2 linked regions of the Sus scrofa genome follow. The protein of the gene in region 2 interacts with the protein of the main gene of each other region in a biochemical or structural test. Links are inferred from orthologs where the notes say so. Each region holds a gene or a part of one and is shown on either strand. Other genes may lie near its edges. The genes, in order: CNTN1 and PTPRB.

Region 1 (6,687 bases), about 38 Mb from region 2:
TATATTTTCTGAAAATTATCCAGAACACTACTATTGATTCATTGGTGTTCCTATGATACCAGTGGCATGAATTCATAACTTCTAGACTCATATTGTGATTTAGTAGACAATTTTAAACTATTCATCATTTTATACTAGGTTTTTTAAAGTATGAAAATGGGTGCTTTTAAAAAGATTAGGAGTTCCTGCTGTGGTGTGATGGGATTGGTGGTATCTTGGGAGCACGGGTGTGGGTTCGATCCTCAGTCCAGCACAGTAGGTTGAGGATCAAGCAACTGCGACTCAGATCTGATTCTGATTCCCGGTCCAGGAACTCCATATGACATGGGGTGGCGAAAAAATATATATATTAAATGCATGGAGGATTAAAACAATATATCTACCTTGAACATAAATTCTTGCCTGGTGTTTATCCTTTCCTCTAATGTTCTCAGCCTCGCATTCATATGTGCCCTCATCTTCTAGCTGAATATTGAAGATCTTGAGGACAGCTCCAGAGGTGCTGATCTCAGCCGTGCTTGGCATTGGTTCCAGGACCTTCCGCCACCGGATATCAGGAACAGGACTTTAAATAGGAGGTAACAAGAGCTACTAGCACAGCACTTAAAAGGCAATTGATCTATATATATAACTAAACATTTACAACATTTCTTTCCTAAAACAATATAAAATTTAATGCAGTTCTATATACATTAAGGAAAACTGTGAGTCTACTTACTTGCCAAGTGCAAAACACTCTAAAGTAACATTTTGGCCCATCAATGCATATATGTCCTTGAATTGAACTACAATATCAGCAGGATATGGTTTTGTTGTTCCTAATTACAAAAGGAAAACAAAATAAAACAAAAATATCAGCAGTAAGCAGAGTAGTGTTTTGCAACATTGTGATTTGTACAGAATTAGAATTGCTTCAAAATAGACGTCTGGAAATTATCTAATCACATCACAGTGTATTGATTTGTTTGTGCATGGTATTCATACAATATAAATTTTATTAAGCACTTTCAATCATATTGACTCATTCTGACAACTGTGTGACCAATGTGATCCAACTCACTGGACAACTCAGTTAAAGAACAAATGTGTTAAACATCACTGGACAATTCAGTTCTTTAGGGAGCATCAAATATGTGTTAAACATTGTTCCAGGTACTATATGGGAATCAAGAAAAAAGAGAAGAAAAGAAATGAGAGATAAGAGAAGAGAGAGGAAAAGAAAGAGGAGAGGCAAGGAAAGAGAAGTAAGGAAGAAAGTATTGTCCTAGAGATGAAAGCAAAGAAACAATTTGAAAAGAGAGGAGAGAAGAAAAGAAAAATCTTTATTTAAGCATGTCTGTGCTCATCAATGACAACACTTATTTAGCCTATCTGTACTGAAATATGTATTATTCCCTCAACCTTATAATGGAAGAAATTCACCCAGGAAGGCTAAGTACACTGTTTAAGACCACAACATATGTGTGTACTTTACACTGTATAACATTAGAGAGACCAACAGATACACAAGTAGTTGAGATGTAAGTCAAAATAAAAATAAATGCCCAGTAAGGGTGGTAGCCAAGGATATTTGTTGTAAGTATGTAGGGACCAAGGGAATTTCAGGCAAAGAGGGCATATGAAACAGATCAGTTCAGGTTAAAGAAATAGCATATTATAATACAGTATCAGAAGTGTGTGGGAATTATAAAAGACCTAAGAATTAAAACGATATTGATATTTATGTAGTGGGGAAGATGAGCTTGCACTTACAATCTAGGAGGCTTGAAACCATGATATTAAATATTTTGAGACTAATTTCCTCAGTGGGTAACTACCAATAGGCTTTAAGAAGAGAAATAGCATGAATCTTACCTTTGGTTTCTTGTTGGCATTTTAAAGGATGGAAAAATACAAAAGAGATCTAAGGGAGGGTGCTTTGTAAATTCAGAAAAATAGGTGAAGGTATGATCTAGGGCATGGTCACAGTGAGAGCAGAAAGGAGGAAGAGATCCAAGCTGCCTTTTAGAAGCAGAATCAACAGGAATGCCCCTTGTATCAATGCTTACTCAAGGTAAAAACCCAGCAGAATCACCTGGGATGCTCACTGAAGTTATAGATCCCTGGGTCACATCCTAGGTGTGCTGAGTCACTATCTCTGGGTTCCACATTTTCCTCAAACTTCTCAAGTGCTTATCTACTAAATGAGGACCCTTGGAATCGCTGTCCTGAGGATGACAGTAGAGAGGAGCTGATGATGAAAAATCCTGCCCTGACTTACTGATAAATGAAGTATATGACAATGTTGCTAAATGAGATCAAGAACACCAGAAGAGGATGTTTAGAGAGGCACTAACAGGTGTGTTTGTCATGTTTCAAACTGAAATCCTTGAGAACCTTCTGTGTGGCAAGCCCAGGATATAGATAAAGACCTAGCCCAGGAAAAAATTTTGGAGATGTGAATTTAGAATTATCCACATAGGGTTATTATTGAAAAAGTTGTAAATGAATAAGAATACTTAGAAAAAGATTAGAAATGAATATTAGGAGAAAGATCTGATAGAGGATACTGCATAGAATTTGTTGACCAGGCAAGGAGGCAATGAAAAGAGGCAGAAGGAGTCAGAAAAATTAGGAAAAAAGATAGAGTTCAAAAGAAACAGATGAGATCAACAGTGTCAAAGTTTGCACAGGATCAAGCCTGAAAATATCCTTTGTATTCAGCAAATAAGAAGTCATTTTGATTATTCAAGATTGTTTTCATTGACTACAAAAGAATACATGAAAGGCATGTAGGAAGATTTTAAGATTCAGAAAAGAAAGGAAAAAGTGATATATCACATGCCGAAAGGAATCAAAAAGGATGGAGCCAGAGCAACTGGAGGGATTAGCCTGACTGGCAGGAAAAACACTTCTCCCAAATGAGACAGAAAGTAAGAGGTAAATCGAAGTACTAAATTTTGGGGGGACCATAGGGAAGAAAATTAGGGAAGTTTCTACATGATGGTTTCCTTTCACTCTCTGAAGTAGTGGTAAGAATCTCTCTTAAGACTTGGGAGGGATGAGAGAGCCAGAAAATCGGAAGATATTTATTGAATACTAACCATGTGGTGGCCATCTTGAAAAGACTAATGAAAATAGAATTTTTGTGATATATTGGAATTTACTCCATTATCATATGAAGCTTAGGGGTAGAGACAGGAACCAAACCTAAATCTGCCAAAAACAGAACCAGTATTTCCTTGGAAGCGTGAACTCAGTAGCAGCAAGATTGCGATAAACTAATGTGAAGTAAGAAAATATACTGTGATCTGATTTTCTCAGGAAGTGGTGCATTAAAAAAATGGAAGGTAGTTTAATTGGAATCTTGGAAAAGCCCAGTCAAGAATGGGCTTTAAAGGAACTATTGCTTCACATAAATAGTTCCTTTAAAATACCCAAATAATCCAACTGCCTTTTTCACCCTAATTCTCTAATCAATATAGTTTGGTTTTATTTAATCACTTGTTATCTTCCATGAATTTACTAGTAGGTGAAATTAGTCATGAAACAAAAAGATGCTGGTGAAATCAACAAACTAGTATTTGGCTAATGATTCAGTTCCCTATGCATTCCCTGAACTACAGGCAACCAGTCCAAAGTCAGCTGTCTCAGGGAAATTTTATGATATCAGTTTTCACTATGAGGAAAGCTAAGGAAAGACCAAGATTTTCAAAGTTTGTATTCTCTATATGCCTTGCCAGAGTCTCCCCAAGGAACCCAAGGCATATGGACGTTCCCAGGCCAGGGATCCAACCCTCGTCACAGCTGTAACCAGAGCCACAGCAGTGACAATGCCGGATCCTTAACCCGCTGAGCTACCAGGGAATGCCCCACTAGATATTTCTTTTCACTATTATTAGTATGCTATAAGCAGACAAACTTGCAAAATACAGAGTGTAACAAATAAAATACTTACGTTCAGGTAGTGGAATGAGTGGGATAAATTTGCTGAACACACTCTTGGTAATAGAAGGACTGGATACAAAGCAGGAATAATTGCCTTTGTCTGATGCCTCAACATTCGCAATGTAGAGATTACCATTTGTCTGAGACACAAATCTTCGTTTATCCATTGTGATAAATACAGGAAATTCATTTAGAAGCCAGCGGTAGCTAAGATCATCTAGAAGAAAATATTGTGTACTAAATATTAAGCTCTTCTCAAAAGTAAAGATTTTATTTTCTAGTAATAGGCTAAACATAATCTAATCTAGGCTTTTGAAGAGCAAATGTTGGATGTAAGCCAAGATAAATAGTGCCAATTTTCTAAAAGCTACTACTATAGTTTGATTGATTGTAAGCATAGTGCTAAACAATTTTATCTACTTCTCTCAATTATTTTATGGGTTTATCATACTTTTAATTTTTGTTTCATTGATGGGATAAATAAAACTCAGAGATGTTAAGTAAATAATTTAGAATTTCATGACTGTTAAGTGGAATTGGGATTCTGAATCCAGGTCTGATAATTCTAAAATTCATAATCCATTTTCCCTACTGCAATCTATAAATGAAATCAAGATTACTAACCGTACTATCACTTTATATCCTTTTACTTTTTGTACTCCTATTTTACTTTTTTTCACTTTTTACTTTTTGTCTTTTTAGGCCCACACCCAAATGCATGTACTTGTTGATCCAAAAGAATATTTACAGTATATTTACTTTAATAGACTGTAAACCTTTTGAAGTAATTTTCCCTGTTCTCATATAAAAAGAAAGTGGATATTTTTGTAATGATTTATGGCCACAAGTAAAAAAGTTAAAAAAGTCAAAAAGAGTGAAGTATAGATTTCCTATGGAAAAAGGATTTTCTCAACCACACAATGATTTCAAGTCACCATGAAATCATGAAGTTGCCTTCAGAATGGTCAGTGTACTCCATAGTTATGTGAATATAGAATTATATATATTTAATTAAATTGCTTAATTAAATTATCTGCATTTTAATTCTAGACTTTGGTCAGGTTATTTTAATCACTCTATTTCATAATTTCTCTAAATTTTAAGAAAATTTTCTATGTACCCCTCATAAGAAAAGAGGAATGGGATAAACTAGGTCAGAGAAGTTATTGTGGTATGAAGTCTTAGACTACATAGCAATTGGTCTGTTCTTTTGAGGCCCAATATAGATTATCCAGTTTACTTATTTAACATACACTAAGTACCTTCTATGTGCCACTAAACAAGACAGATTTGGTCTTTGCTGCTGTGGTATTGTAAGATTTAAAATATATTTATTTAATGAATTTTGCACACTGATAAGTCATCCATTTCAGCAAAATCATAATTGCCATATATTAGAAGCTATTGTTTGTCATGAAAACAAAAGTAGGAATTGTCATTGCCATTTTTAAACAGGTGCACAGAGGTTTAGCTGGGTTGACTTGCCCAAGATCATACAGCAACAGGGAGGCAGAACTGATCTCCTGACCTCCTTCTCCACACCAGAACTACCAAAATTGCCCCATTATTGGTGTTGCAGCTGCTCTGCTCTGCTCAGACTTAAGAATGAGACCTAATTCTGGCAATCAAGAGCTAAACTCTGACCCAATTCTCACAGGAACTCAATGGATTATTTTTTTAATCTGTCTTCCCCTGCCTCATGTGGATGGTAAAATTAACCATTTCTGAAGAAGCCAACACTTGTTTTCCTCATAGCACTGTTGTCTTGCTTATAATAGATTATTAAAAACTTATTTTTTAGGAAGATTTCGGTGCTGGCACCTGCTTCAAAAATGTTGCTTTTTATTGATAGATGTCTGAGATTTCTCCCCTTTGCTGCAAGAAAGTCTGGACAATATGAAAGAGAGGATTTCTTTTGGCAACCAGAGGACATTTGGCTAGTTTCACTGTATTACTCTGAAATCCATCACGTATACAACCTTGCTAAATAATGTATACTTCTCTTTGAAATACATACAAGGAACTGAAGTATTTCCTGGATAGGTAATTTTCAAAAATTTTTTAAACTCAGTGAATTTTTTTATATTTATAGTTGTATAACCATCATCACAACCCAATTTTACAACATTTTCAACCCAAACCCCCAGCCCACCCCTTCCCCTGCAACCAGTATCCTTTGGTAACTGTAAGTATTTTAAAATCTGTGAGTCACTTTCTGTTCTGCAAATAAGTTCATTGCATCCTTTTTTTAAGATTCCACATATAAGTGTTAGCATATGATGTTTGTGTATCATTGTCTATTTTCACTTAGCATGAAAATTTCTAGGTCCACCAATGTTGCTAAAAATGCCATTATTTCATTCAGTTTTTTGGGTAAGTAATATTCCATTGTGTATATGCATGACGTCTTCTTTATCCACTCTTCTGTCAATGGACATTTAGTTTGCTTCCATGACCTGGCTGTTGTATATAGTGCTGCAATGAACATTGGGGTACATGTATCTTTTCAAGTCATGGTTTCTCTGGATAGATACCCAGGAGTGGATTTGCTGAATCAAATTATAATTCTAGTTTTAGTTTTTTGAGGAATCTCCATACTGTGTTCCATAATGGTTGCGGCAATTTATATTCTCACAATAGCATAAGAAGTTTCTCTTTTCTCCACATCCTCTCCAGCATTTATTGTTTATAGAATTTTTGATGATGGCCATTCGGGCTGGTTTAAGGAGGTAACTCATCGTAGTTTTGATTTGCGTTTCT
Region 2 (6,687 bases):
CTATTTTTATTTTGTGTTTGTCTTTTACATTTGTGTGATTAAAATTTAACTTCCTTAGAAGCAAAATGGTTGGCAAAGTAAATATTTCAGGCTTTGGGGATCATATAGGGTCTCTGTCTTGTACTTTTATTTTGTGTTCTTTTTTTTTTTTAATTTCTTTAAAAATGTAAAACCCACTCTTAGCTTGGTGCTATATAAAAACAGTTCACAGGCCATATTTGGCTGAAGGGTGTAGCTCCCGAACTCTGCTATTTTAACAACTTTCAAAGCTTTACACATGCAAATTACACAGTACTTTACACATGGAAGGCACTGGATATATGTTTGGTGATGTAAATTAATAAAATGGTTTATGGAAATCATGATTAAGGACTAACTGGCCCTTCATTAAAAGAGTTGATCATGGAAAACTGTTTGGGGGTACCTCAGAAAACTGAATATAGAACCACCATATGATCCAGCAATCCCACTACTGGGCATATATCTGGACAAAACTTTCATTCAAAAAGACACATGCACCCCTATGTTCATTGCAGCACTATTCACAACAGACAAGACTTGGAAACAACCTAAATGTCCAATGACACGTGAATGGATTAAGAAGACGTGGTACATATACACAATGGAATACTACTCAGTAATAAAAAAAAAAAGAACAAAATACTGCCATTTGCAGCAACATGGATAGAACTACAGACTCTCATACTAAGTGAAGTAAGTCAGAAGAGAAAGACAAATACCATATGATATCACATATCTGGAATCTAATATATGGCATAAATGAATCTACCTACAGAAAAGAAACAAATTCAAGGACATGGAGAACAGACTTGGAGTTGCTAAGGGGGAAGGGGAGCGGGGAGGCGGGAGTGGGATGGACTGGGAGTTTGGGGTTAGTAGATGCAAACTATTGCATTTTGGGTGGATAAGTGGTGAAATCCTGCTGTATAGCACAGGGAACTAAATCCAATCACTTGTGATGGAACATAATGGAGAATAATGTTAGAAAAAGAATGTATATATACATATAACTGGGTCACTTTGCTGTGCAGCAGAAATTGATGGAACACAGTAAATCAGCTATAATAAAAAATTTTAAAAATAGGGAGTTCCCATCGTGGCGCAGTGGTTAACAAACCCGACTAGGAACCATGAGGTTGCGGGTTCTATCCCTGCCCTTGCTCAGTGGGTTAAGGATCCGGCGTTGCCGTGAGCTGTGGTGTAGGTCATAGACGTGGCTCAGATCCCACGTTGCTGTGGCTGTGGTATAGGCCAGTGGTTACAGCTCCTATTGGACCCCTAGCCTGGGAACCTCTATATGCCGTGGGAGTGGCTCAAGGAAAGATAAAAAAAAAATAACAATAATAATAGCTGATCAGAAATTCTTTATTTATTAGTATCAATGCTAATTCATGTTGGCTGCTTAAGTGGTGTGACATGAAATAGCACAGGGCAGAGCCAGTTATCCAGATCATTCAGGAATCAATTCAAATAGATTTGCTTAAATAACTCAGATGAAAGCAATTAACCCTGCGCTTTACAGAGGGGGGACCCTGGCTCATAGACATTCTTAGCCATGGTAATGGCCATCATACTTCCCATTTTGGGAAAGGAATTTTCCTTCTAAAGTATTTTGTCCTGTTCTAAGATGAATCAGAGAGTGATTTGAGCAACTACGGAATTTCTGGAGCCTTGACTCACCTGTTCTGCCCACTGCTGTCTTGTGAGCAGACAATTCACCAGAGACACAGCTGATGGTAACTTGATAAAGTCGTCCAGGGGTTAAGTTTTTAAACTGAGTTTCAGTAATGTGGGGTGCTAATATTCTAGATTCTTTGACAGTCCCTTGGTGAGACAGGGTAAGGTTGTAGAAATCCACATTTCCAGAAGGTCTTTGCCACTTGGCTTTTAGAGAGGTCATAGTGCCATCATTTGTCACCTTCAGATTTGAGACTTCCATAGGGGCTAATCAGGAAGGAAAAGAAAGAGACTTTAACCCAGGACACCATACCACTCTTATGGGAAAATTCTGACCTGTATTTTAATCTCTACAAGCCACATTTTCTGCTCTGAAGAAAATGACTTCATGAGGTAAATATAATACTGCAAAACCAAAAAAAGGTTGTCTGGCTAGTGGAGAGAGAACAAAAATGGCAGTCAGGAGCCCAGATTCTGGCTCAAACTTGGCCATTGGTTGGTTGGGCAATTCTGGGCAGCTCAGTCTATCTCACTAAACCTAGGGGTCCTTATTGCCTAATGATGACTTGGTCAAAAAACTTAAAATGGCCTTTTCCAGTTCTAAAATTCTTTAAGTGGAATCCTCAGAGAAGTCTGTCTCTGCCTAATTTCTTCTCATTTTTATGTACATAATAATAGCAAGTACATAATAAATAGATTGGTTGGTTGATTGGCTATCACCAAATTCTGTGTGCTAAAATACTTTATTTTCATATTAAGTCATGATAAAGCTTAAGAGTTATGTCGTTATTTCATCAGAGGAAAATGGTTACAAAGGAGAGATACTTTGGTGGATATTTTTTCTACCTCTTTTCTTGCCTATGCTATAATTTTGGGTCTCACTAATGGTGTAATATAAATTAATAATGTTTCATTAAAGTAATGAGTACAACATGCTGATTTGCATAGGCCAAGTCAGAAGTGTAACTTGCTGTAGAGCTACATAATAATTCTTCAGCTAAATGGTATTTTTGTTGGGAATATCAATATATCTTTGAGATGTGATACGAAAGATATATAAATGAATAGGTGTCCCCAAAGATCTCTTCACCAAACTTCCTATAGTTTAAGGAACTTTCTCCACAATAGTAATTTCTCAGGCACTACATATTTTAGAGTTTCTCTTAAAATCACATAGCTTGCTAAAGGAGAGGACTTATTAACACATTACTCCTACCAGAAGCCTTAGAATCCACTTGAACCTAAGTTCCATGAGAACAAAGACTACGTCTCTCTTGGACATTGCTATATCCACAATGCCTAGCATATAGTTTACACATAATAAATACTGCTTAAATGAATGAATGCATGAATGAATGCGAATATAAATTATTTATTAAAACTTAGCACAAATTAGTTTTCTGGCTATGTTAGGCTATGAGAACAGCTCCTATAGCATTGGGTCTCAGGAGGTGTTTTATTGGCTAGATGGTTTGGGAAATGGCTGTTTCACGGCAGTAGGCCTTTGTATAGCACTGGGAAGCTATACGAAGCACTACTTCATTGCCAGTGAGTTCACAAAGGCAGAGGATGCCTGTTTTAGAGAAGGAAGTAGGAGTCCTTAACTAAAAAGAGAAGCTGACACTGTATCACTGATTAACTTTGCTATTCCAGAATGTTGTCAAGGGCTAGACTAAATGTGAATAAAAGGGAATCTCTAAAAAAGAATGTATACATATATATATATATATATATATACACACACACACACACACATATACATAAAAGAATGTACATACATATATGTGTGTTTGTGTATATAATGTGCATATATATATAATGTGTATATATATGTGTGTATACACATATATGCATGTATGACTGGGTCACTGCTATACAGCAGAAATTGACAGAACAATGTAAATCAACTATAATAGAAAAAATAAAAACCTAAAAAATAAAATAAATTAAAAGTAAGGAATAACACGGGGGGAAAAAAGGGAATCTATCTTTCTCTAAGCAGAAAAGTAGATAGGTCTTCTGTAACACATGGATTTCAATTTGTCCTATATTACCTTTATTCAAACCTTTAATAAACATTGTTATTTAAACATTTCCTTGATTTGAGGTTTATTCTTATTAGCTAGCTAGGGAAACTTACTTGTCCTGGCTGGTTTCCATCTGTAGTTTTGCAGCCCTGCAGCCTCGGTAACAATGGTGACATTATAGAGGTGACCAGGTGTCAGTCCATGAAAAGCATAGGAAGTAGTAGATTTGTCCACAGTATTACTATGAACTAGAATCCCTTTGTCCATTAGCATCAGGTGGTATCGTTCTAGGTTCCCAGGGCCACGTGACCAGGAAATCAGGAGGGAATTAGTTTCCGCTGAAATACCAACATCTTTCACTGGGGATGGCACTAGTGGGATAAAATGCATTTCCAAGGTGTCATTCATAATTTCCTTGTAGAAGATAGAGACCCATTTAATTTGAAATCACAATTCATTTATGCTTCTCTGTACACCTAACTTGTGTGATAACTAATGAAAACACCACTCCTGAAATTTTACTGGAACCTGGATTAATGCCCTTTTCAAAACCCACAGCTTAAAGCTACATCATAGTTTACCTGTTTGTCTCCTTCACTTAGCAGGTATTAAGGTCGATTTTGCCAATGAAGTTTGATGGAGCATAGCAGTAAAGAGAAAAGAAAAAGGAAAGAACTAGAGAAAATGAAACAGAAAGAGAGCAACAAAGAAGGCGAGAAAACCAGGGAAGACTGAATGGTAAGAAAGTCCATTATGGAAGGAAATGGTAATTGATATCGGATGTGTGGGTACAAGCAAAGGCTTGTTCCAAACAGCTGAATATTTGGGAAACACCATGACTTGATGTTATGAGAAGAATATATAGCGGAGGGAAAATATTTTAAAAATAAGTTTTATGGAAAAAACTGAGAAAATGAGGCAGAAATTTCTGCTGCTTTAGATATGCATTAGAAGGGCCACTGGGAAATAGCTTCTTCATCCTGGTGAAAATTCCAGTCCCAGAGAAATTCCATAACTTGCTCAAAGTCACCCAGCAAGCTAGAAGCCCAACCACACCTCCTTGTTTCCAGTCCAGTCTTTTCCTTGTGATCGAGCAGCATTTGTTTGTCTATCTATCATCTATCTATCTACCAATCTATTTATTTTTGAACTCAGGGCATTCTTACTCCCATTTCTTGAATTTAATATAATTTCCAAAGAAGCACAGATTGTTAAATACCAAACTATCTGTAAAGAAGTCTTACCTGTTGATCCATTGGTATAAATTGTAAAGGAACGTTTATCTCCAGAAATAGCTGTGATGGCAATATTGTATTTATTACCAGCAGTGAGGTTTAAAAATGTATATTCATTCCGTGCAGTTCTTTCTTGAATTTGGGCCCCCTGTGTCTTTTGGTTATCATCCAGTAGCTGCACCTCATACCAGGTGACTTTGCCCGAAGAAGGAGTCCACCAAACATGCAAGCTGGTGGAAGTAGTTTTCTCTTTACTGACTTCAAACCTGGCAGGAGGTAAAGGATCTGTAGGGCAAAAACCCAAAAAAAGAGAAGGTACCTTGAAGACTTTTGCTGATACATTTTTACCTTGCTGAAATCCAGATTCATTTTCCTTCAAGACTTTAAGAATCTGCTGCCAATGAAATAAACAGGTATCTTACACCACTTCCAAACTTACCATTTCACTTGGAATAGAAACCCACCTAGCTACCAGTCATATAACTCCTTTTTCTGATAAAAAAAATTTTTTGAAGACAGCTCTGAGTTTGGAAACCCAAGCAAGCTTCTATTTACTTTGGCTTGCAAGTTTTGCACTTTTCAAACATTGACAAACATCTAGGCTCTGCCTGGATAAATACCGAACATCTCAATCAAAAATATAGATTTTAAGAAATAATTTTAAAATTTGTACCAAATTTTCTCTTTTTTTTTAGGTTGTGGGTTTGGGGGGTTAAGCATACACAACTTTGGGGGAGCAGCTGGAGATCAGAAAACCACAAAAGATACAGACTTGATTATGAGCCTAGGCTAGGCGTGCTCATTCAAATGAATTCTTTCAATAACTGGTATTCCCTATATCCCTAGACTTTCTAAACTTGAGTTCTGGGTCATTTTGGAGCTGCTGAAGCTCCCAGAGCAGGTGGAAACGGGTTAGTCCTATAACTGGCTATTCATTTAGTTTCAACTCTTTATGCCACGGGTCAGTTTGAGGAGACCTCTATCCCGTATACTGAATTCTCACTGTAGAACTTGAAATACAAGGGACAGCATGTCTCCAGGTTAGGAACTAAGACAATAATGTTTAGTGAGCAGATGATGCAGTGGGACCATTCGAGAAATAAGGCTCTCCCTATGCTGAATGTTGAGAATAAGAAACATTGACAGATTTTACATATTAATAATTTTCAGAAATCCTACATGGTTCTTGGTCTAGAGAATACAATCAAAATCTGGGAGACTAATTTTCAAGAATCAGGTTAGAGGCTTTAGTGGCATGGCTGTAGAGCACTCAGTTCTTAGCTACCTCTTGGTAAATTATATTTTACTCATGAAATAACCTGAGGGATTCTAGCATCTTTGTAGAACAGCGTATGTTTTAAGAAAGTGTTCACTTGTGACTAACTTTAATACAAATAGAAACAAGGTAATCTTTATATTCAAGAAGCTTTTATAGCCAGAGAGCTCAGTACTATGGGTCACCTATAGAGAGGCCAAACATAAGCTAAATCCAGCCAAACCAAGGTGGCTTGAGAGCCCAAAGTGCAGGTGAGCCTGAAGAACAAGGTTGTGTGGTTTATACCCTAGCACAGCACAGGTTTACCTGAAGAGAACAGACTCTAGTCTGACGGCCTGGGTTTGAATCCAGGTCTCCTGCCTCCCTGTGCCTCTGCTGTCTCCTCTATGCAATGCTGGTGACAATACTATTCTTTTAGTAGAACTATTATGAAGATTAAACAGAGCTCTCT

What was found.
Region 1: the proteins of PTPRB (region 2) and CNTN1 form a complex in vitro, tested with the Homo sapiens proteins (2 studies listed by BioGRID). The link is inferred for Sus scrofa from reciprocal best matches to the Homo sapiens genes PTPRB and CNTN1.

The regions. Positions count from the first base shown.
Region 1 is NC_010447.5:72,365,589-72,372,275, reverse strand, and holds part of CNTN1 (contactin-1), read right to left. Parts: intron 4,145-6,687; coding exon 3,938-4,144; intron 819-3,937; coding exon 719-818; intron 566-718; coding exon 384-565; intron 1-383. UniProt on the Homo sapiens protein: Contactins mediate cell surface interactions during nervous system development.
Region 2 is NC_010447.5:34,741,119-34,747,805, forward strand, and holds part of PTPRB (receptor-type tyrosine-protein phosphatase beta), read right to left. Parts: intron 5,246-6,687; coding exon 4,970-5,245; intron 4,097-4,969; coding exon 3,839-4,096; intron 1,966-3,838; coding exon 1,702-1,965; intron 1-1,701. UniProt on the Homo sapiens protein: Plays an important role in blood vessel remodeling and angiogenesis. Not necessary for the initial formation of blood vessels, but is essential for their maintenance and remodeling. Can induce dephosphorylation of TEK/TIE2, CDH5/VE-cadherin and KDR/VEGFR-2.